Linked DNA regions of Drosophila melanogaster. The protein of the gene in region 2 purifies or fractionates together with the protein of the main gene of each other region. This does not show direct contact. Each region holds a gene or a part of one and is shown on either strand. Other genes may lie near its edges.

What was found.
Region 1: the proteins of Ccdc85 (region 2) and RASSF8 purify together in Drosophila melanogaster (affinity purification with western blotting; one study listed by BioGRID). This does not show direct contact.

Annotation. Positions count from the first base shown.
Region 1 is NT_033777.3:25,655,608-25,668,452, forward strand, and holds RASSF8 (Ras association domain family member 8), read left to right. Parts: upstream 1-6,187; 5' UTR 6,188-6,807; coding exon 6,808-6,879; exon of another isoform or gene 6,880-7,026; coding exon 7,027-7,400; intron 7,401-7,542; coding exon 7,543-8,263; intron 8,264-8,330; coding exon 8,331-8,641; intron 8,642-8,702; coding exon 8,703-9,048; 3' UTR 9,049-10,033; downstream 10,034-12,845. Other genes in the region: Tnks (tankyrase), read right to left, coding at 1-1,743, 1,808-2,590, 4,985-5,180; Lgr3 (Leucine-rich repeat-containing G protein-coupled receptor 3), read left to right, coding at 11,548-11,635.
Region 2 is NT_033779.5:2,997,483-3,010,327, forward strand, and holds the start of Ccdc85 (Ccdc85), read left to right. Parts: upstream 1-1,803; 5' UTR 1,804-2,519; intron 2,520-12,845. Other genes in the region: CG3558 (uncharacterized protein), read left to right, coding at 10-48, 309-766.

The DNA.
Region 1 (12,845 bases), on a different chromosome or scaffold from region 2:
CGATTAGATGATGCAGCTGCTGGCTGCTTAGGAATCCGGACACATTTGTTATGGTATCCGCATCCGGCAGTAGATCATCCGAAGAGGAGCCCTCAGCCCCATTGGCCTCTGCTCCTTGGGCGGGACTGATGCGCGTGCTACTGGACAGTGGAAGTGGAACAGGAACACTCAGAATCATGGAGGCACCGGTGGGCAGCAACACCGTTTCCGTGGTGGGCGATAGGATTGCGGATGAGGACGATGAAGATGTGCCCGGAGCCGCAGCAGCAGTTGCATCTGGTGCCGGGGAACTGCTTGTCAGCGATTGCGTGGAAGCACTCAACGCCTGTTGACTCAACGAGGTGGCCATCGCGTCCTGGAGCAAGCACTTAACATCATCTGCCGTGGCCAACTCAATGGGCGTCTGCCCCTCCTGGTTTTTCATATAGGCATCGGCACCGTGGGCCAACAAGAGCGAGCACAATTGAGTGCGCCCCTTCTGTGCAGCCTCGTGGAGCGGTGTGAATCCCCATTTATCTGTCGCATTGACAACCGTCTTGTGCTTAATTAGCAGTGCCGCAATATCCAAATGCCCATAGCTGCTGGCATTGTGCAGAGGTATTAGTCCCCCCTTGTCCTGTGCATTAACATCGGCTCCATTCTCCAGAAGGTACTCGGCACACTCAAAGTTGTTATATCCGGCGGCCAGGTGAAGTGGTGTGGAATTCCTGCCCTGCGCGTCCCGGCAATTAATGGATTCCGGTGTAACCAATCGCTGTACCCGTGCCAAGTTTCCTTTCTTTGCTGCGTCTAGCAGAGCGGACGGTCCTCTCAGCAGCTCTGCAACATCGTGATCAGATTCCTTAACCAAATCCGCTGGTGTCGCGCCATCCCGATTCTTCTTCATTGGATCAGCGCCATGTTTCAAGAGCAGCTTGCAAATATCATACTTTCCCTTGGCGGCAGCTTCATGAAGAGGAGTAAACTTCCACAAATCCGATACATTTACATTGGCTCCGTGCTTGACCAGCAGTTCGGTTACCTCATAGTGCCCATAAGAGCAGGCATTGTGCAGGGGCACCAGTCCGCCCTTGTCAGCCGCATAAACCTCGGCGCCGTGTTCCAAAAGAAACTGAACCACTGGCACTCTATTAAACCCAGCAGCAAAGTGCAAAGGTGTGGAATGTCGTCCGTCCAAATCCCGGCAATTGACCGAAATCGGATTGTTGAGCACTATACGGCGCACAGTGTCCAGATCTCCCGCCTTGGCTGCCTCCAGTAAATGTGTCTCACTGTCCGGAGGATTCTTGAGCAGCTTCAGCACGCTGTCCGAGGCCAATTGAGCGGCCGTAAGTCCCTCAAGGGAAACGATATTCGTGTCCGCTGCGTACGAGAGCAGCAGTCGCACCGCTTGCTCATCACGGGCGCACCGATGCAGTGGCGTTTGTCCAAGACTGTCCAATGCATTAACCTTGGCGCCCTGCTTTAGCAGCACCTCCATGGCATCGTAGTGAAGCAGCTCGGCAGCCAAATGCAGGGGCGTGAGGAAAGCCTTGTTTTTCTCGTTCAGCAAGGATCCCTTTCTGGTCAGCAGTTCCATCAGCTGCTTGCGCTTCCCATCCGGACTGACAACGGCCAGGTGGAGCGGAGTGTCTCCTGTATATGGATGCACGAAGTTAACAATCTCTGCGCATACCAGCTTCTTGGCACGGGACACATCACACTTTCGACAGGCGTCCAGCAGGCAGTGACCCTTGTATTCAACTGAAAAGTAATATGAATGACGTTAGAGCTAAGATATTTAAAACGCAGACAGCTTATAACTCACAGGCAATCCGCTCTCTCAGCTCCCTGGTGGGCGCCGCATCGATGGCCGACTTGCTGTGGCAGTTTAGGAGGGTGGGATCCGCTCCACGACTGAGCAGCAGGCTGCAGACCTCGACGCGACTTTTGGAGGCGGCCTCGTGGAGCGGCGTAAAGGCCCACAGATCGTTGGCGTTGACATTGGCGCCCGCCTGGATAAGCAGCTTGGTCACATCGAAGTGTCCGTAGGAGCAGGCATTGTGCAGCGGCACCAGACCGCCCTTGTCCTTAGCATGTACATCCGCTCCGTTGGCCAGCAGAATTTCCACGATGCCGATCCGATTGTAGCCCGCTGCCAGATGGAGCGGCGTTGAGCGTCGTCCATCGCTGGCATGACAGTTGACATTGAGTGGCGTGAGTAGGGCCAGCAGGCGATCCTCGGCCCCCGAGCGTGCGGCTTCAAGCAGCTCATCCTTTCGATATTCGCCGGTCAATACGGGACGCGTCGCCTCGTCCGCCAGCTCCAGTGGTGTCTTCTGCTCCGAGTTGCGGATCGTATGGTTTGCGCCATGCTGCAACAGAGCCAGGCACACATCCACCTTGCCCTTGCTGGCCGCCTCGTGCAATGGCGTGTAGTTCCAGTTGTCGGTGGTGTTTGGACTGGCACCTGCCTTCAGCAACAATCGAACTACCTCGGCGTGGCCAAAGGAGCAACAGTTGTGCAGCGGGTGCAGCCCACCCTCGTCACACGCCTGTATGGAGGCGCCGCTGTTCAGCAGGAATTCAACCACTTCCCGGCGTCCATAACCTGGTAAAATAAAAACGAATAGGTTATTAGATGAATGTCATGTATTGGTCGATGGGAAAGCCCTACAAATGAGCGAGAAGGTCTTGCCTTCGGGGATTTCAACCTTGTCCATGGCATACGAAAAGAAAGATATGTTTTCCGCATTTGCAGAACTGTTGCCCAAGGAAATCTCAAAAAAGTTTACATTAGCTTATGTTCAGTTGAAAGTAAACCTTACAATTAAATGATAAATAATCAAAATAAGTCGCATAATAATCAATATAAACGGATGACAGTTGTGATGATCCAACCGAGCCCCCGATTTATAAACATACTTTTGGCAACTTTTGCATTGTCAATGCCAGAAATCTGAGTCATCTTAATAGGGTACCGTAATTGGTCACACCAGAGATGATCAACATAAAATAAATGTTTATGATCGTACTTATTGCTACGTTTATAATGAACTGCAAAGAGAACCGGATCGAATTACAAATCTGGGCAAACAAAAGCTTGAGCCACCCACCAAAAAGTGGTTTGCGAAACGTTTGTGCCGTTCACTTTTCTGTGGGCAAACAATTACGAAAGTTTTGCATTAAAAATTAATAGAATGGAAAACTTAATTCCAACTGTTGCACTTGGAGCGTCAAAGCGCCAATTGCTCGCCACTTGGAAGTGTGATCCTTGGGACTGTGAACAATATATGAATAAAAACTGAGATATATGTATGCAATTTCAACTTGATTTGCAACTACCACCCCGAAGGTTAATTTGCACAACTTTTTGGCCAGCGATAAACGTATGTTTTAAGTATCTCGAATATGGCCAAGATATGGAGGGGAAGGTCTCTCCGGGTTTATCGACTATATTTACTATATATATGTACACACACACACATAAATGCCATGATAACGGGCCAATGTCAGAAAATCTGATAGTCGCAAAGAAGCGAAGTAAAGCGATTGCGTTTTACTATGTGTCACGATTGCGGGAAAGGAAGGAGGAAACGTGAGCTCCGTTTTGGTTTCCACCGCAACAGGTATTGTAAAACTTCGAGTGGCCAAAAATGTCATACATTCAACGAGGTGAAAAGCAGCCGCAATAAAATATATATAACTTAAACGCCACCCGACAATAACAGACCCCTCGAAGATCTCACTTTTTGTGCACAGAACGTGACAAAAAGACAGACGAACATAATAATGGAAAACCAGTTTATAGAAAGAAAGAAAGACCCACCGCCAGATAATAAAAAGTGCTCAAAACTTAAAAAAAAAAAGAAGTCACAAATGGCCAAAAGGCGAAATTGATATGCAAGGGGCGTCGAGTGAAACGGTTAGAAAAGCTTGATGGCATTTTTGGGGTATTGTTCGAAAGGGGTGAATGTGGATGGGGGATGGGGAAGGGAAAGACGTTTCTTTCCACTTTTGATTCGATGCTGCCGACTGACTAAATAAATCGCAATGCATAAAATGCTAACTAGGCCAAAGTCACAACAAAAGACGCGAAAATATTGAGCCAAAGACGTCAGCAGGATGGCGCATACAACGCAGCAGCCACAACAAGTCGCCCCACTGCCCACTGCCCCGCCCACCGCCCACTATCACTGTCACCCCCACAAAAACAGACACAATAGCAGTCGAAATAATAGTTAAAAAACATGCATGCTTGTATTACGAAGGATTAATCATTTGATCACTCACAGTTGAAAAATGTAAATAAAATAAATATGTTAGCACGAGTTATTTTGTTTACCCAATCTAATATTTAAAGGCCAAGCATCTAACTAAACCCTGCGAAACAGGTTAGCTATACAATCAGACCATATGTTGCAGACCTTTATCTATGGGATTCTACGTGTAAACAAACAAAGCTAATCAGATGATATATGTGTGTTAAACATTCAATTTCCAGTGCTGAGACAGTGAAAGCTCTCATTGAAATGGCTAATTATGCAGTGCTATTATCTCGACCGCAGCTGTATGAGTCTTTTTTGAAAATAGAAAATGCTTAAATGCAGCACGCACGCACACATGCAGCGGCAAAAGGGGCAGCACGGGGGATTCCCCTTTTGAGAGGGGGTCTTCCGGAAACAAGCCAAACATATAGAACACATAGAACGGTGGTGGAAGGAGAAGCAGAAGCAGAAGAGGAGGCAGAGCCAAAAGCAGAAGCGACATGGAAACTAGGTCAACTCTCGACGCCATTGGAGCAGGCGAGTGTCCGACCGAGAGCGACGACAATGACGCCCGTCACACCCAGGCGCAACTAGCTCAAGGCCAAATCCGCACTGCAGCGGGGGGTTTGGGCGAGTCCTTCAACCTTTCGTTGGGCGAATGGTGGGGTGGGCTGCCGTTTTTAGACCGTCCTTGGAAGGGATTTGGATGGGATCTAACCGCATCGCATCTCACTTACCCGCTGCGAAATGCAATGGTGTGGATTTGCGTCCCGCCGTATCCCTGGCGTTCACGGTCTGAGGCGTTATTAGCTTCTTCACCTTGGCGATCTCGCCCGTTTTGCAGGCCTCGAAGAGCTCCCTCAGCGGATCGTTGGCCATGACCGCATCGAGATTAACGCTCAAAATGGCCCGACTTCGGCTGCTGTTGGCCATTGTTGTGCTTGTTTGCTACGCTTTGGCACACACACGCCCCGAAAAAAATAGGCAACAAAAAACAAGCGCAATATTCAGTGGGCTTTCGGGTTTTCCACTCCCAGTCCAGTTCTCTCCTCCAGCAGTTGCTCTGCCCGTCCTACACAAGCCTCGCCGTTGTCCGTCGCTGGCTTGCCCGCATCCTGTATCCAGGTGTCCTGCCTATGCCGCAGGAGCAACAATTTGCCACTGGCTGCCACGCGACCAGCCCTCGTTTTTGCTTAATATTTAATGCACAATTGCAGACCCAAAATCAATAGGATTTCTTTGGTTCGACACAGCACGGTTGCAAGGATCGCGGTTGGCTACGATTCGTTTTTACTGAGACTGCGACCAACTCTGGGACTAGCTCCCTGGTACTTGGCCTCCAAAGCTCTGGGCACGGACGATTATTTCCGGATTAATTCACTGCTCCGCGAAATATTGCATTGTTTTGTGACCGAGTAAGAGTGACCGTTCGCGGGGTGGTCGAATATTCCAGGTTGAGTCAAGCGGTGTGACCAGGCGACGGGGCAAGCCATTCTGAAAAAATACTGAAGTCCTCGAATCACATAAGCTTTTCCATTAATTATATTTTTTAAATTTAATAGCTTATGTTCTCACAAGGTTTTACACAAATTTGTGCTTCAGTGTGCACTCACTATTTGGTGAAAAGCGAAAAGACGTTTGCATCTATATTGTGTTATAAGAAACAATTTTTTTTGTTAACCAAATAGACAATATTCAATTGGTGGTACAAAAATTAAGATCATCATTTTTATGAGCTTAAATTAGAATTCTTAAATTAGAAAAGGCCATGTAGGAATTTCAATTATCCTAATATAAGCACATAAGCCTATTACTAGGGAAAAAATCTCAAAAAAATTTTTTAAAATAATAGCAAGTACCTGTTACAACAACATGCAATCCCAATTGGCATTGCTATCGATAGCTTGAAAAACACCTGTTTGGCCATCCCTGGTTGGCTGTTGGTGCAATCGATTTTTGGCATCGACTGGATGCCCATGCCAACAACAATGTTTGCTTTTAAAATTTAGATTAAATCCGTTAAAAATCCGTGAAATCAAAACAAAAGCAGTGGAGCTGCTTCACAACAAGATTATCGTGCTTACTAGAAAGTGAAGAACCACGGAGTTACCGCGCCGGAAGTACAAAAGTAATCACCAAATCGGAAATCCGAAAAGTGAATCAGAATTTTTCTAGCTCACACACACACGCGCGCATACCCGCACGCCCAGCAAACACTCATGCAAGCGTATGGAACCAGTCGTGTTGTTGTTGTTGCTGTGAATAAGTGCAAGTGAAGAAGAAGCAGAAACTGTGATCGGAAAATTAAGCAAAAAAGAAAAACAGGCGAGGAAAAGTGGGGTTGGGGAAAAGCAGACGGAAAAGTGGAAAGGCGGAGTGCAGCTAACACGCTTCGCTGGCTGCGCGACAGCAGAACGCCAGTCAAGCGCCAAAAACCATTAGTAGAACCCCATTTCCAGCTGGAGCGGCACAAGAAAGCAATTTTCTGGTAGCAGAAACACCAAGAAACGAAAATAATTGGCCGATCTTTAGAGACTCGACTCGACGACAATTAGCCGGAATGGAGCTGAAAGTTTGGGTCGAGGGCATCCAGCGGATAGTTTGCGGCGTTACAGTGAACACCACATGTCAGGTATGTGAGCTACAGCAGAGGTCAAAATAATAGCACTATTATCTTGTTAAAGCATTTTACACTGCTGCAGTGCTGTTAATGTGACCCGAACTGTATGCGCTCTGTTTGCTAGTCAGTTTGCCCTAATTATCGTTTTATTTTCCACAGGATGTGGTTTTTGCTTTGGCCCATGCCACTGGAAAAGTGGGCAGATTCACTTTAATCGAAAGGTGGCGCAATAACGAACGCCACCTGGCCCCCAATGAGAATCCAATGAAGCTGCTGCTCAAATGGGGCGAGTATGCAAATGATGTGCAGTTTATATTACAACGTTCGGAAAACAAAACACAGCAGCAGCAGCAGCAACAACAACAGCAGCAGCAGAACAATAATAATAATAACAACTATGCTGTGATGACAACAACAAAAAAGCCGCTGGGGCCGAACAACAATAACAATAATAAGCCAGCGCCCACTTTGCTAAAGCAAAAGTCGAACGTCGAACTCAGCTACCGCACAAAGGAATTGAAAAAAAGTTTCGGGTGGGTGGTTTTTATATGCTAGTTAGTTTGGAAACTACCCCTTAAAGCGCTTACCTAGCCCTAATTGTTAATAGGCTAACAAACTGTGTTTAAATATGCACCTGTGCGGCTACCATCAACTGACAAAACTTGTCTCTTTCAGGGGCCACGATGCCAAGCAGTTTGACAACATTGGAATCGTCAAGGGAATTCCGCAGCAGCAGCAATTGCAGTCACAACAAACGGCCATGGGAGCACCGGCGAGTCCACCACAGGAGCAGCTGACACCGCAGGATAACAATAATGTAGCACCACTGGTGCCAAAGCATGAGAAATCGCTGTCCAATCCGCTGGACATGACCAGCACGGGTAGCAATCCACCCGCACCTACAAATGGCTACAATGACTTCTACAACAATAACAGCAGCAGTAATCAGCATATATACAGCCAGCTGAGCAAATCCAGCAATGAACTCCGACGCTCCAGTCCCAACGAAATGTACTACAACAATAATAACAATATTGTTAATAACAATAACAACTCACCGGAGCTGTACAAGCAAACGCCGACGATTTCCGCGAATGGAGCTCTAGTCCCACCACCATATCGTGACCCGCCACCCCCGAGAAACAGCCCCATGTGCCAGGGGCAGCGTTTGGCCAGCAGCAATGCGGACACCATGTCCAATGCCTCCTCCTCGACGAATCCGTTTCTCAGCGACTACGATCAGCATAGCAGCCACAACACTAATAGCATCAACAATAATAGCCAGGCCATGGAGGAGGGTGAGCCCATGTTCCAGACCACGCAGTATAACGATTTGCTGCAGCTCATCAAGTTTCAGCGGGAGAAGATCACAGCCCAGCAAATGGAATTGCAAAAGGTACAAATATTCAAGTTTCTAAATTGATTTGGAATGTTATTATTTTATTTTTGTTTTATCTGCTTAGTTCGATACGGAAATAGTTTATTTGGAGAGCAAAGAACGCGACCACGCCCACGAGTTGGATGCTATTTCGCGTGAGATTTCCAAGGCGGATCAAATCTTTCGGCAAGGAAGCGAACAGCTCCAGACTCTGCAGTATGTGGAAGAGGAAAACGAATTGGTCAAGCAGCAAGAGAAGACTTTGAAATCAGAAATAGCTCTACTGCGATCCAAGCTGGCCAATTGCGAAACAGAGCTGCTACAATGCAAGAACAAAATGCGCTTGCTGATGGATGACATTGAGCTGGAGCAGCAACATCAACAGCAGACCAATAGGTGAGTGCATAGCAATTTACTTGCTTTGTTTTAAGTTTTTCACACTTCTTGGTTGTTTCAGGCAAACTGTGGAGCGAGACTTCTTGATGGAAATGGAGCGCATTCAGAGTGAAATCGACCAGGCTCTGCACAACACTGACACTTCAAACAAAACTGCAGATAGTTTAAAGAAGGAACTACTCATGATCGAGCATGCCATCGCGGACAAGAAGCGGCAGGTGGAGCAGCTGGTCAACGAGATGAAGGAGGTGAATTTGCAGAGCCTGACTGTGACCACCACGGAGGAGATCAAGCATCTATTGGAAGGACCCAACAAGCAGGGCAGCAGCCGGCGGATCATCGGTTCGCCCAGGCAACTTGAAACGGCGGTTCCAACCAGTAAAAATCCTCATGGTGTGTGGGTTTAAGTCACACATACCCAGAACTATTTTTCTAAACGTATTTCTCCTCCAACAAAATAATGTTTTTGGGAACAAATTGATCAACATATCTTGAATGCATAATGGAGTTGAAACGAAATGGATTCCTTATGAATATCACAATTTTAAACAATATTCTAAAAATATTTACAATAATTAACGTGCTTGATTGTTGTTTTAGTATGTTTACATTCCAATCACACTCTATGGATCTCTCAATGCAATGATATATGTTACAAATTTGAAATCACAATCGTTTTATTACTCTACATTCCGCACTGTACTTTGTATTTAATAGTAGTTAATGAGTCCCATATTCACATGCCCTAATCTTAATTTTGTGTGCTATACTTTTGGTTAATTTTTGCTGCTAGTCTACGTGTTAACAAAAACCCTTTCCAATCTCTACAATTCGCCATTAGTTGTTAACTTGACAATGAATTTTAATTGTTGCAATAATTCGAGAGTATCGTAATTTAAAAACGCCTTTCTAACGAATAAGTAGTGCCCTTAGTGATTTGTCTCCTACAGAATTATTCATTGTAGAATTCACAATTCGAATTACACAAAACTTATTGTACTTAGCAATTAGCGCAGCTTTAAAAAAACAAATTAGCAATGCTTTGTTGAAAAGTTTAACTTTTAAAGTGCTTAGCCTTAGCCACCGGATATCGAAACAAAAGACCGAAGCATTAACAATTGCAAAGGTATCAAGCATTAGTACATACATAATTGCTAGCGTACAATTAAAAGACAACCCACAAGTCGCTTTGATGTATTATGTTTTTAATTAGCAATATTTAATATTTACACAAACTGATGATGATAGTGAACTACAAAACACCAACGGAAATGCAATTTATCGAATATTATATATTACTATTACATTTAAACTAAAAACGATTTAGAACAAATTGTAATTGCATTACATCTAATTAGCTAATAAATACATTTTTATGATTTTCTCGAAACGAACTGTCTGTATTTACATTTGGTTTTGGTCTTTTGAAACACCACGAATTTTCCGCAAATGAAATCAACGGTCAGCCCGAAGTCCTGTGCCACACGAAGCTAGCTGCTCGGCCGCTTTTCTTGTGCGGAGGGAAAAACAAAATCAGCAACACATGCTGCCACCAGCTTCAGTTGGCCGCTGTGCTCGAACGCGTTTGGTCCTTTTGTCCTTGTCGATATCCTTCGCTCGCGACTCAGACTTCCTGGCGAAGCGCGCGCTACTTTCAATTTTCAAAAAGTGTCGCCCAGTGAACGGGTCAGTGAAAGTGGCCCGTAGGAAATAAAGAGGCAAAGGAGCATACATTTGAATGGTCCGTTTTTGGGGGCATCCTATCGCATTGACACAATCGACAAAGTGGTCGAGGGAGAGCGTTAAAGTGGCCCGCCAGCAAAAAGGACGAAGGAGCGCTCCGTTTTTATGGCCCTCTTCCACACCAAATGATGTTCAATTGCGATGATTGCGATAATGAGAGTCCCAGTTTCTCTGTTTTGGGGATCATGCATCGCCGAGACAATGTGACCTTTTGCGGAAATTATGATTTGTCTCCGGCTGACCTTGAGCCCCCCCGCTGGGCGATGTAACCCCCCCCCCCCCTTGCCGCCGACTCAATTAAGCTAAATTTAATCAGCCGGACAAGAAATGCTTCGGAAAAGGACCCTCTAATGCCGGTCACATATTGCACTTCCATTTCGTAGTACATTTGGCAAACCTATAACCTTGAGTTTGGCTTAATGTCTTGCATAAATTGGGGAACCAAGTGGCTGCTTAAAAATAGAACCATTCCGACTGGAGCCAACTAAAATTATTCATTTCGATTTGCTAGACTCAGCGGGGCGAACAAGTATAGCCAATCTTTATGACTTCCTTTTAACTTATATCTTGGTTTTTTCTTGCATCACAAATTTTAGTTATTATAGCAGCTTTCAGACGCGTGAAATAATACTTTTAATAAATTTATATCCCCAATAACTTTAAGCCGTCTGTGAAACTTAAGCCCGACGTCTGTCAAAATGGCGCTTTATGCATATATTTTTTATGGACACCAAATCAATTTTATCCAGCGCTGAAATCGAAACCCCACCAAGTGGAAAGCACTTGCCATCCGAAATATTAATTTTGAACTCCCGCTCCAGCTCCCAATCCTCCTTCCGCTTCATCAGCTGTGTAATCCTGGCACTTAAAACTCTTCTCCGCGAGCTGTGAACATTAGCCAAATGAAGTGACAAGAAATTAACGCAAAAATAAAACAAGAAGACGGAGCGGTATAAGAAATAATAATATAAAAACTCAATGAGTCAGCACCGCATCAGCTCCTGCTGCTGTTGTTCTTCTTATTGCTGTTGTTTGTGGGGGCGTGGCCGGAGTGGGAATTGAGTGCTCCTAATGATGAACTCGGTCAAGGAGCCAGTGCAGCCATGGTGGCCAAGTAATTAGATAAGCGAGCGTGCAAAACAGGAGCAAACCGATAAATCGCCATGGTCTACGGCAGGAGCATCGCCGTAGGCTTCTGTCTGATGACCGTCGTCCTTCTGCTGGCCGCCGTGATATTCTACTTGAGTTTGGGTGAGTCCTTAGAGTGATGTCCTTTCAAAATTCCATCATTCGCAAACCTAAATAATTTCTGAATCAAGAATGTTCAAAATCTTAGCAATTATTATACGCATAATTTGTGAAACTACTTAAAGTTCTTTTAAAACTTGAGCTGCTGTAAATTTCTATATATACTTTCGTATCCTTAAAGGGTTCCTTCGCTTGAAGCAAAAACCAAAATCAAATTCCAAACTGCAAAATGGCCATAAATTTTATACTCAAAAGTATTTGAAAGTAATTTGTTGTATAATACGATAAAAATAAGGCAACAAGAAACAAAAAACGGGGCGCAAAAAACAACAAACGGCTGACCATAAAAAAATAAATACGAGTACGGCGCAAACTTTGTCTTGAGCGCAAAACAATTTTCGCACATCCATCGATGGATCCATGGAAGTATGGGTATAAATATATATTTCTGGGCCTTTGGTCCTGAATGTTTTGCTTCCTCGTTCGAGGCTTTTATCTTGTTTTACGAGTATCAATATCGAGAAATTCGCACAGCTATATTTTTTATGCCAATTTGCGTATTGATTTGCCATGCCACATCTATGGAATATGGGCGAAACATGTTTGATTTATGCCCTTTTGTCGCCTCGGATTCCGAGTACATGCATCACGACAAATTATTTATCTGCCAGATACAATTTGTCCTGGCTTAGGTTTAAATCAGCCACGGAGCAGGAAGTTTAAAGAGGAAAGAGCCAGGATTTGTGTGTGAACATGTGGCCTTGTCATGGACACAATGAAATTGAAAGTCTCGCCTAATGCACAATGCTTTTGTGTGTGAATCAGTGCTTCCTAATGAAGTTACACATACAAATATGTATGTATGTATGTGAAAAAGGATATGAGGAAATAAATTTGTGCAGCTTGATGTGAATCATATGGCTATTATCTTGAACGAAATGCATTTTGGCTTAAAGCTTAACGAATGAAAGATTAATTTCAATTCACTTTAAATGCAGATATCAAATCGAATGCACTATAGCTTATGTCTAATTAAAAGCATTCACATTGAAATATCTTTATTTACACAGTGCCATGGCAATCGTGCAAAAGGGTAAAGTTATTATGAGATAAATGAGCCAGCAACCCAAAGAACATGTTTCTGACGCAATCCGTGCAATCGGATTAAAAGCTCCTCAAGGTGCTCCACTTCCAGTTTTATTTGCTCATTTGT
Region 2 (12,845 bases):
AAATCTTAGCTTCATCTGGCTTATCACAAATTTACGCATTCTTCACCGGTAAATATTTCACGCTTGATAAAATATTTAAAGTTTTAATCAAACCTAACCCAATATGGCATAGTCTTGTTAATATTTGTGCGTAGTATCTTTATTTTCGTAGAGCTTTGTACATTATGCTTTCCACTAAAAAAATAGTTAATAGTAGAATATAGAAAACATTTGTGGAATCCCATATATACATGTGGTTATTGTTGTTTTTTAATTAACCCAAAATGTCAATATCATGTGCTGTTGCTAATCCTCGCATACGTTTTTAGGAGCTGCCTCGAATCTGGTGGGGAATAATGCCAGCAACGATGGAAGAGGCATATCACAAGCTCAGACGTCCGCAGGCACATGCGAGACCAGCTTGAGTACGCAGCCCCCAGCGGGAGCATCACGCACAGGAGCCAACGCGACGTCAACAGCGGCATCGGGAAGCAACAGCAGCATCGCAGGTTCCACCCTAACGCTCTCCGCCCAGTCGAACACAACCACCCACTCGGCGAGCACTCTGCACGGTCTGGATGGCGGCCCGTCGACGGGTGGTTTCAACTCGGAGCCGGCGTCCCTGGACTCGGTGGCCTCCATGGGAATCATCGCCAGCACAAGTGGCACCGAGCGATCACGCGATCTGGCCCTATGTGCTGTGCTCATGGACGAGTGGCTTAAGGAGCTGGCTGCCATTGCGCAGGAGCAGAGCGTTGTGCTGGTCACGGAGCAGGGGTCTTTATGATCGCTTGGAACGGAAAGCTTGTGTATACATATTTTACGGATTTGTTAGCCCTTGTTTGTTTTAACCAGCTACTCTTACGAAATTATTCTTTTTACCTGTTAAATTTTCGATATTTATATTTTAAAAAACAACTTTTAACGAACAATGCAGTTTTGAACAGATTTACAAGTTAATGCACACGGACTCAACTAAAAAAAAAAAAGAGAAACACTCAACGCGTTAAACAAATAGATTTAGGTTAAATGTTTTAAGTGAATCGGGACGGTGGATCTTAAGTGTTCAGATGTAAACAAATATTCTAATTACCAGCCGTACGCAAAATTTACAACGTTTATAGAGAGAATTATATAACACACATACCATGTATACATATGTATTTTTGCAATATATTTTATGCTTTTATGTATGCAAGATCAAATTACACAAGTTATGTAAAGCCAACTTGAAAGTATTAAATTGGTCCAAGTAAATGCACAGCCAAGAAGATTTAGTTATTCTTATTATTAGCTTAGGATTTCAGGTTTAACGTGAGAGCCAATTTTATAACATGGCAACCACCAGAGGAGTCAAAGGGACTCACTGGGTATACCTTCTTCTGGTGCGACACGTAAACGCACAGTTCATTCTGCGCAAGTCAGCTGAAGCTGGAGGAGCTGCCTGCATCGGAAACACAGTTTAGGTTTGAGGGCCATTGGGAGAACTGCCTTTGGGGTGTGGCGGCGAAATACGATGATAATTTAGGCGCTGAAATTTAGCCAAAATGTTTTTAAATAAAAGTGTTTCTTATGAAAACTTCAAGCCAATATATTCAAGATTATACTTATTAAAAGAAGCAGGCAAGATAAATTTCCGTTTAGATCGTTAACGGAAGAGTTTGAATTTGAATATGTACTAAAATAGAAGTTGATCGATTGATCGATTTATGCCCACACTTTAAACCAAACACATTCCACTCCGATATCTTAGTCGAACACAAACAATCGATAGTCGACAGCACTGTGGATGGTTGAACGCATCTCTAGAAATCGGTCGCTTTCAGTCACAAAACTGCGATCGTTGCGATCGTTTGCCGTTCAAAAAACGTAAAAGTGCGCATCGCCGGCTGAATTATTGCGTTGTGTTTATTTTATTGTTAAATATCGCATAAATTATGTTATACTTTTCCCCGCCCTGCACTCGATACATTCGTGTTGGCGACTAATCACACCGCCCGCATTTTCGCAAACTTTTTGTTCTTTAGTTGCGAGTGCCGCTTGAGTGTTTGTTAAGTGCAAGGGGAACACCGGCTGAAACCGCCTTTACGGGATTCTAGCCAACCGAAAATAGTTCGCGAAACGCAGCAGGCGACGCGTCTTTTTGGCTCTCGAAAAGGGCATGAAAACTCGCGAACTGTGGCCAATAAAAGATACATACAGGAAAAAGCGATTGCGCGAATTCTCGGCTGCGTGTGCGCTGCAAATTTGCTCGTGCGGAGCAAAAACAAACGAAAATAGCCGGATGAACAAATACATCCAGTGCGAAGAATAATCTACGCTGTATAAACAATTAGCCGCAAAACAAACGGCGGAATCGAGTGCCCCTGTGTGCCAGTGTATTGTGTGTGTCTGTGTGTATCTGTATCCCTGGAATGCGCAGTCGCGCATGCGCAAATATTTGTGATTTGTTTTGAAAGGAGAGAAGGAGCGAGAAACAGAGATAGATAGAGAAACATAGAGAGAGCGCGCGATCGGATTGGAATAAAAAAAAATAAAAGGTGAGTTTTGCTGTTAGATTGGCAATTGCAGCAACTGCAGTTGCCTTGGCCTAAGTTGCCATTTTCCCTGCCCACGTTTCTCCACACAATTAATGTACAGTGCAAGGAACTATTTGAATAACATACATGATAACTCACTCACAAAAAGTTCAATTCAGGCTCTTCAGCTATTGAAAAAACATTGAATCAATACTTTTTTACGTGTACCAAGCCCACGTCAGTCGACTAAAAATCCATGGGCCTCGGCCCACGGAAAATTAACTCATTGCCCCCTCTTTTCCCTTCGATCCAGAAAATTGCTCTATTCTCCTCGGGAACGCCCACTTTGTCAGCGCTACGCCCACCTTGCCCATTTGTTCTTCTTTTGTCTCTGGTCTTTTGTCTTTTCCCTCCACGGTGCGCAAACGAAGGCGGGTTTTTCCTCCACTTATCGCTCGGCCACTACGGCCATAAAAGTCCGAGTAAAAATCAATTTTCAAAACAAGCAGGACAAAAACAAAGGAACGAGCCAGCGAGGCGGCAAGGGGGCAAGAAAGGGAATATCGGACGACAATAACATCAATTTTGAGGCATTTATATGCGCCAATAAATTCAACAGTTGCTTGCTGGTGTGAGTGAGAAGGAGAGGCAGCAGGAGCGATGGCGATAGTATCGCATCCGAGGAAAGCAACAAATAACAGGCAGAAAGATACACGACAACGCGCAACAATAAGACACAAGATCAAACAAAACCAGCAGCGAAAACCGACCACGCTGCAGCATCGCCGTTGCTTTTGTTGTTGCTGCAGCAGTTGCAATAGCAACAGCAACAACCACGCCGCATGCAACAGGTAAAAGCAGCGACGCCACCGTTTCGAAACGAAATGCCCGCAAGAGCGAAAGAGATGGCGCCGAACAACCTGTTACATCGCCCGCTGCCTGAAATATGTAAAGTCAATTTCGTGTATCGGAAAACTGTAACTAATGCCAGGCAACAGCAGCAGCAGCATTAACCCATTAACGCGAAAGGGAGAAATCGGCCAAGAAATGCAAATGCATTGTCCATGGGTTAAATGGAAAGGCGGGATGGTGTAGTTGGGAAAACTGCTTGGCCACATACCACAAACAATGCAACAGTCAGGCATCGTTTGAATTGGCAAAATGTAAATAGTAATTAATATTAATACAATTATTAACACTATTACTTCTCGGACAAAAAGTATGTTTCCTTAGGGGTCTAAGTTGAATGTTTAATATTACTCATTTCTTTAAGCCTTCATCCGAGTTGGAATCTTTTTGCGGTCATGAGGCTTTTCTAAAGTATCCACAAGAATCTCCTCCTGACTTGGCCCGGCATCTTAATGGGTTAAGATCCGCGCCCGTGGGCAACTGAGGCCAAGTTCGTTGTACGCGGCGGCAAATAAAAGACAGCGCAGTCGAGTAAGAAATTTTTGTCAATGAAAGAAAACTTTCTTTTGGGCTTATCCACGCCAACATCGCCGCCGGTCCTCCGTTCACTCTTTCGTTGTCTGTCCTCCTCGCCGGTGATTTTGTTTTGTGTGTCGCCCTGCTCTTTATATTCCTATAAGCACCCATCCATATACGTATATCTTTCTGTTTAATTGGGCGGTTTCGAGATTTACGCGCGCCTGCCGCCATCTGCAGAATCTCTTTGGAGTATAATGATCTTTTGGATCTCTACGTCTCCGCGGGCTCCTCTTCATGGTCCATTAAGACAATTTAGCCTGGCTTCTCTTTTCCGGGCCTTCGGGACTCGGCCATCGGATGCGTGGGAGTGGCAGGGGCGGCATGGGAGTGACTGATGCGTGGGAAGCCTCGTCTGTTTGTCATCTTGGGGCTGCAGGTTTGATTGCTTGCGAGCCAAGCCAGGGCAGACCAAGCCAAGTCATCCAGCCATCGAGTGTCCAAGTTGGCGCAACAAGTGTCCCAGTTTGTGGAACGGCTAGAAGCCAGCTACTCGAACTAGAACTAGTTTAAGTTTCCTGTCCCGGCAGCCATAGCTGGAATCTCCTCCACATGGTCACATACTTGCATGCTTATAGTGGCGGTGGAAATGCTAGAAGTAGGTTAGTTTAAATGCTTCGCTTTGCGATCTGTGGATAAACACGTCTCACAAAATCGTATATCATACATATATCCCAAAAATTATATAAACGCCAAGATTATTTAATAAGAGATCAGAATATAATATGCTATATAAGACTTATATTATCTTTGAGTGACATTTTTGGTGCTATTCGTTTGAGCGCAACTGTGACTTTTCTTTTAGGCTCGGTCATGTTGACTCTTGCTGCCGTTTCTGCGGTCGCCTGGAGGAAACCCCCTTTTGGCCAACCTACTCCCCTGTTATTAACCGTTTGGCCACATTTTCTCACACAGAGTGCGCAGAAATACTTGGCAGGCCACTCTGGCAATTGGCGCGCCTCTGGAAATGACAAACGGTCATGAGCATGTGGCTCCGGCCCACGAGGAAGCACAAGGGGGCGTCTCGAGCAGCTAGCAGCTCCACTAAATTACGGAAATCTAAAAAAATATTCTAAGCATTCGCCGGGAAAATTGATTTGGAATAACTGTATCAGAATGCTCTAATATAAAAAAACAAGTCTCGTCTCGGGATGCTATAAATTCCAGAAATGATCGAAACGGAACCGGTTGAAATGTATGATAAGTGATCTATAGATCGACATATCATGTTTTGAGCATGTAAATCAGATAAAAAAGACCGCAAATGATAAGTGCAAGTCTTCTTTATGGAACATGATCATTATAGAATTCCTGTAATAAACCAGTAAGTTATAATTAGGTAAAAGATGCAATGATAAGAATTCTAATCTATTTCCTCTACGACCAAAAAAGATATGCCAGATGGGTTCTACACATATCATTGTAATTGGCAATGATCCCATTCGACATAAATGCCGAAGGAATGTAAATGAGACCAGTCGATTGGAACTGCCATGAGATCATCAAATGGCCTCCAATCGCATGGAATCCGCTTTGAGGGGTGCTCCACTTGGGATTCATTAGGAGGCCCCTTCTTTACTTTCAATTCGCTCTGCTTCTGGCCAAAACGTTCTCCTGTTGGCCCAAAACAGCCTCACGTAACTGTAACTGATTTGACCTCCCATCACTTAGCTACCAAAAAAACCTCCTCCAAAAGCGTCGTTTTTTTCCGCCGCTGCTGCCGTTTTGGCATTGTGAATGGTTATGGTTACAGTGGGGATTGCGGATTGGGGCTCGAGATCTGGGCTGGGGGACTGGGGCATCCGTGGTATCAACGGAACCGAGTGGCGGCATTGGGTCTGTTTTGATGCTCGTTTGGCGGAGCGGTGCGACCTCGACAACAAATTTCTATTGCATGCAATTTGGTGAATATCGCATGCACAAATGAACATTAACACTTGGCGGAGACCCAAGAGATGAACAATAATAATAAAAAAAAATACCAAAAAACTTGTTTGCTCAACAGAAAGCAGTGACAACAAACATATTGGTAAATAAATGCAAACCACAGATGACGAATGTGGCATACACTATAATAGGAAGTATTTAGTTAGCCTATTTCGAAAGAAACATCTTGTTTGAAGATAATTTTTAAGTATGGAACTTAAATGCTATGTTACACAAATTAAAGTACATATTGAAGTTACAATATTGTGCAAATGTATAGAGTAGTTTCGTGTGCCCCTCCATTTTCTAGGGTATTAAACATCAAAAACGGCAGCCAGGCGGCAGAGCATCGAGTGAAAAAGTGCGCCTAGAAATTAGAAAGTACGCGGCGGTCTGGAGGAGAGGCTCAATCTGAAGTTGGGGCTGGAGCTGAGGCTGAAGCCAAAGTCAAAGCTATGGTTATAGCTATAGACAAAGTCGAGGCGGTGGGTATGTGAGTGTAACTCGATTTGTGACTGTCATAAATGGCGGAAATTGTGGGGCTCGAGACAAAGCGGGCTTGGGGGACTGGGGACCGAAAGACGGAGGCTTTCTGGCTAGCTTTCTGCTTTCTACTGCCGGCCTGCCGGTCTTCAGCCGCGGCTCTTTCCAACTCCAAGCTCCAAACTGCAGCTCCAACTTCTACTCCAACTCCAACTCCGGCTCCGTTTTTCTTTCTTGCTTGACTATAATTTGTGCCATCAGCATTTTGTTGTCGTTATCGTTAGTAGAGACCAGAAGACTGTGAACTGAGCTGAAGACTGAAGCCAAAAGACAGAAGACAGCAGACAGGCGACGGCAATGAAGCGTACGTTTTGACATTTCCCCAGCTCCGCCGAAGCCTCTCTCTTTTCGCTTGCTCTGGTCTCCATAATTATCGAAGCGGAGAAGAACGCGCTGCCACAATTTGGCCAGATTTTTATTAATTCCCACCTTGCGCCACCACCCTCCCCTTTTGATACCCATTACTCGTAGAGTAAGTAGGAGGCTATTTTAGATTCGATAAAATGTATGTAACAGGTACTTTCACTAGCTGGGTACCGGGTATCCGATAGTCGGTGAACTTGACTATAGCATTCTCTCTTGTTATGACTTATTCAATTCGCCACCAGCCGCAGAACAGCCTTAATATAGCCCCAACCCAATCGACGCTGAACCCAAGAACCGGCTCAAGTTCGCCTCGATCTGCGTTTATTATTACACTTAATGTGACTTGATTTATAAACAAGAGCAGCCTCCAACGGTGGACCAACCGACCAACCGACCAACCGACAAACCACTGGTCACCTCACCTCTTGCCCAGCTGTTGCGAGGAGCAGAAGACAGCAGATCGACATGGCTCAGTGACCAAAAGGAACACTGGGGGAAATTTGATCTGATATTGCAGCTCTTGCGTTTTTTCAATTCTCCGTCTACCAACTGAATTGTTGCCATGTATTTATTGAACTCAGTTGGTTGGTTTTCAATACATAACGTTATAGTTTTTCCCAGTGCACATACCGCACTGGTGTTGGGTTACTCCAAATATTGCCCTTTTCATCGCCGCCCGATAGGAACTGTCTTTTAATTAGTTCATAAATTCAGCGTGGAAAAGCTGAAACGCAGTTTCACCTCCGATGTGTAACACTTCCACTTCCCTTTCCAGTACCTTTCCAGAATCTCTCGCTCTCTTTGGGCTAAGCCCACCAAGTGGCTTCCTTCCTGGTCCCGGGTCTTTCAATAGATCGTTCAATCCGGAAGTTTGTTGCGCTGGCGCAGACAAAAGAAGTGCGGCACTAAGCGGCTTTTGTGCCCAAGAAAGGAAATAGAATTCCTACCGCGCCCCTTCCTTTTCACTCGATCAGTCGAGTGAGAATCTCAGAGTCATTTTAATGGTTTCCGCTTTTTATGGCATTGCCCGGGCCTTATGATTGGTACAAAATTAATAGAAATTTAATTGGAGGGGCCCGTGGGGTCGGGGGAAATTGGTTCTTTAGGCATTTATTGCGCATGCGCGCAGCTTTTCTCGCTGTCGCTAATTGTTATTGCTCTGGGTTTGTCGGACTTCGTAGTTCTTTATGGTTTCTTCACGCTCCGGTCTTTGTTTTTTGTATTATTTTTATGTTTAACTAGACGTGCGGGAGGTTAAAGCGTGCTAATGCTTACATAATGCTTTGTTTTCGGGCCTCTTTATTGTTTCCACACCGCCCTTCTCACGTCCTATTCACCTATTTTCACGTCTTTTGTACGTGAGGTAGGCCCAGTTGGGCGGAAGGGCGAGAAAGTCGAGGACATTTTAGGGCCCTCATAAATTATCATCTCGGGTTTCGTAATCCCATGGCATAGGAATATGATGAATAGTCCCTGTTCCCATTCACAGTTTGATCCAGTTCCTTTCTGTGCCTTTTATGACTGGGAAAAGTTGAAGATGGTACCAGATAACCTTTTATAGGTATAAATCAATGTGTGACTGTGATTTATATTGATTCAATTGGGATAATTTGGTCTAATTTGTGACCTTCCTAGGATTGTTCTTTCGGAGAACCCCCTACGGAAAGAAATATGTGCAAGTGCTTGGTTAATATTAACAGCTAGCATCCTCAATTATCCCACTTATATGCATTATAACAAACATAACCTGATTTATTTACCATAAATTATGTATCACTGTCACAGATTAGATTAGTCATGTAACTTCACAATACTCAGGCTGAATTCTTGTCGAATCCGAGCATATATAATTGATTACTCCGCCCACACTTGTGGCAACCTGTAATCTCCAAAAATCACACCATATGGAGCACGCGCTCTTTACCGCCCACGTTTATTCAAAATTTTTGGGTATTGTGAACTATGTGGAGATTTTGTGTTTTGTGTTCTCTAAATAAAGCCATACAAGACAAAAAATCGAAAGTAGCTGGCCAGAGGAGTTCGAAAAGAATTTCAGCAGCCCGAAAACTAATGAAATGCCAGAGACAACAAAAGAATTCAAACATTAGCATACATGAATTTATTCCCCTTTATTAATTTTGTGAGGTTAATTTATGTGGAGAGAGAGGAGGCATGATGAAACAGAAATTTGAACCGAAGAAATGTTTAGTTTTGCTGATGAAGAATGTTTTTTGAACCGCCTCCAGCCCGATGATAATTAAATATTTGTACATATGAACTTTACTGGGTTACGGGGCCAACAAAAAATGTCTGTAGACTATGGTAAAGAGCGGGGAGGGGGGGGGACTCTAGTAAGTCCGGCTTGATTTTTTGATTTTGGGTTTTTATGTTCTCGCTTTTGGCGAGAAGTCGACTTACAAGTCACTTCATTCGATGCTGGCCTTAAGATTAATGTTTCCCCGTACGCCGGCTCTTGGAAATTTGCATATTCCGACAATTTGCGGCTTGTTGTTCGTTAATGTGGATGTTGTAACTGCTTGCAGATAGATCCCCCTTTTAGATTTTTGTGTGTTTCAGAGGGCGTGGTAATGAGTTCTCACCGAAAGATTCTCGTTATGCGATAAATTCGAAAGTTACCGAAACGATTTTGGGTTTTCATTTGCTGGCAAAGTTTTTTTTTGTCCGTTTCGGGTAATTTACATGCATAAACAATTTGCACAAAAGTGTTTGCCGTTGCCTGGGAGTTTCGCGCATGAAATGACCAAGTTTATGGCAATCGACGGGCGGTCGGAGGTGCACAAAACCCGGAGACCCGAAGACTCGGAGACCCGTCTACCCGGCTGTCGTAAAAATCAAATATGCGACGCAGACTTGACACAAATGATACCCATAAACCATAACAACGTAGAGCCGAGAAATGGAAGTTGTATTCCGGCGATTGAGGGATTGGCGAGAGCTATGGTTTCTCGATTTGAATTCGAATTTGCCCAGGGAGTGGCTCTATTCAGGTTAATTTTGAGTCGCTTCGATTAGGCCCGACTGAATGAAATATGGATAGGAGACCTCCAGAGTTCCACTAGCTTTGCAACGTAATCTACATATTAATTCCGTTCAGAGTTTTATATACTTTTTATTTTGTTCAGCTCAGCACATAATTAAGCAGATTATTGGCCATTAGACCCCTGGGGATCGTGTTTGCGAGAAGCTATAGAAGGGAGTAGAGAAAGCACGACAAAATTGTATAAAATTATGGTTCTTTGATCTATATAATCACCTATCATCATCTAATTGTTTTGGCTTGCTTAGGTGTAAATTTGCCAATGTTTATATCTATATCTATGTTTATCTTTAAAAATATTCCGCTTTTTCTTTGTAATTAACCACAAGTTACAACTTTTTAATCCCTTATCGTAAAGCCTTTCTTCTTTCCATTAGCCAGCTGAAAATTAGAATTCCCACAGCTGTTTGCTGTGCTGGAGCTACTGCTCCAGTTTGGAGCTTTTCATTAGGAAAAGCCGCCGCATTGGTAGTCAACTCAACCCCCACCGACACAGTTTTGACTTATCGCTTAACCTTCACTCAGTTTTAACTCTTACCTACCGTCTTTTGTTTTCCTGCCTCTGTCTAACTCGTTAGCTTTTTGCATTGTTAAGTTTTTGTGTCTTGCCTACTGTGCTACACACGGCACTTTAACTTGGTGGCTGGAACATGAAAAAGACAAACTTGTGGGTGGCCTCTTCGTGAGCGATTGAAAATTAGAGTCAAATCATTTTTGACTTTGTCTATAATCGTATGGCGTATGCATTTCAAGCGTATCCATTTCTATGGCCCCGGATTGAATTCTTTTCTCAGAACTCCAGAGCCAGAGTGAGTGTCACGTGCAACATAATCGTCTTTCGATGGTTACAAATCTTCTCAGGCCGAGCCCGTTGATAAATGGAACTTCAGGCCGAGGGGCGAGTTTGTGTCTTAAGTCTTTTGAATGGCGGTGGTGCGATGTGTGGATCCTTTTGTGTCTGCGCTTCATTCATTCGTTCATTCGTTCATTCACGAACATTTTCGCTTCATTTCTTCCGCCAAAGTTTCTCACTTATTTTATTTTCTTCGGAGCCAAAGGCAAAGTCATCTGTATGACTTAATGTCGACGCCGACAGCGACGCTTGTCGTTTGTCATTCAATCCGAGCAGCGAAGGCGTTTGATATATACTCGTATGTATGTAAGTGTATGTTCCGCAGGCTTTCCCCGGATTTTTGTGGAGCAGCGTTTGAAAAACGATACATGGAGACGGGCTGTTACGTTGTACCACGCGTTTTCTGGTGCGTGCAATGCAAATCCGCAGCCAATTCCAAATCCAATGAAGCGTGCAGCCCCGATCCGGAGACTTTCTGTACTTACCTTACCATATTCTTATGTTTCGATGTGGGTGTGCAGGTTTGCTTGTCGCATTCGCCATGGCTTGTGGGTGGCCAAGTGGAGTTGGCGTCGATCTGGGGAGGGATGAGGGGGAAAATAACTGTATAACCATGCGCCATTTCCTGTTGTAAACTATATTCCATTTCAAATAAGGCTCTTAATTACTTGGGTTATGTCATTTCAGTTTCAGTTTATTACAACTAGAATTTCTTGTTTGCACTACATTAAGTGAACTAAATTTTGACCATTATTATCAGCACCCTCCTGCAAGTGGCTGGAATCATTGCTCTGGCCTACTTCCCTGCGATTCAGCATAGTGCAGTACAACAAGAGCCTGTGCCTGCCTTTTCATCACGGACTTCATTGTCTGGGCGCGCGGTCAGTTTGGGATTGTTGTTAAGTAAGTGTACTTAACCCACATGACTTGCGGTTTTGCTTGTCTCAGTGCGGACCAACAACTTGGTTTCTGCCCGTGGCTGTCATCACTCGAAAAGGCCAAAAAGCTGTCATTGCCTGCGATCTGTTGAGTTGTGGCCACAGTGCGTATACGTATGCGTGCGCAAAGAGATTTCTTAACCTTGAGTGACTTTGAGCGTTTCCCAACCAGCCAGCCATCCAATCCAATCCAATCCATCCATACGTCCATGTTTATTTATGCTCCCCCTTTGGCTCTGCGTTTATTAACCAATTTTTTCGCTGATTGTATTTTGGGTTTATTAAATTACTGATTGCACGTGTGCGTGTCCGCGTACTTGACTCTACGCTCATTTCCTTAATTAAACACTTGTTTCACGGTCCGTTGGCCAATCCAAGAGGTATTTCATAAAAATAAAAATGCCAAAGATTAGCAAAAAAAAAAAAAAATTCAAGCTGATGAAGCTCATTTGCAGAAATAATGATCCATCGGCAAAAAGTGATTAAATTCAAAGATTATGTAAAGGCGATCGACAGCAATTTGCAATGGCTAGCAACCGATTATCAAGTTCACTAGAAAGTTGCTGCATCATTACTTTTAAAGAGCTAGCTTTGTGAAAAAATAATGATACGATGTTGATTTGTTGAAAAATATCATTTAATTTTTTTTTATTTACTGCTTGAGTAAAAGTACCAAAGTAATAAGTTAACCATATTTTCTTTGCATTTATGATATAAGATCCACTTCCTTTGCATATCGTGCTACCAGTTTTTGTTCTGACCATCTTGTTGCGTGTAACTTTCAGTTTAACCCTTCAAGATATTTTCTATTAACTTGGCTTATATCTGGCAGTTGCCATCTATAACAAATAAATTCATGGCTAGACCCATTAAAAACTTATTATGCTTTTTGTGTGGCACTCCGGTTTTATTGTCCATTGTCGGGAGCTGGAGGTTGCGGGTTCCCAGTCTCCCAGCCGGGGGAAGCCACCCACAAAGTGGTGGGAAAAGTAATTTTCATAATTTTGCACTCCGACACCTTCACCTCCTTCTCCTGTTTGAGAATCGGAAGCCCCCGGGCATATTATTCTCGACTCGTTGGAAATCCACATTTACATGGAGCTGGGCGAGAGCTGTGAGCTGGAACCCCTTATTAAAATGGCACTAATTATGGCAATTTGTTATTGGCCAAAACGAGC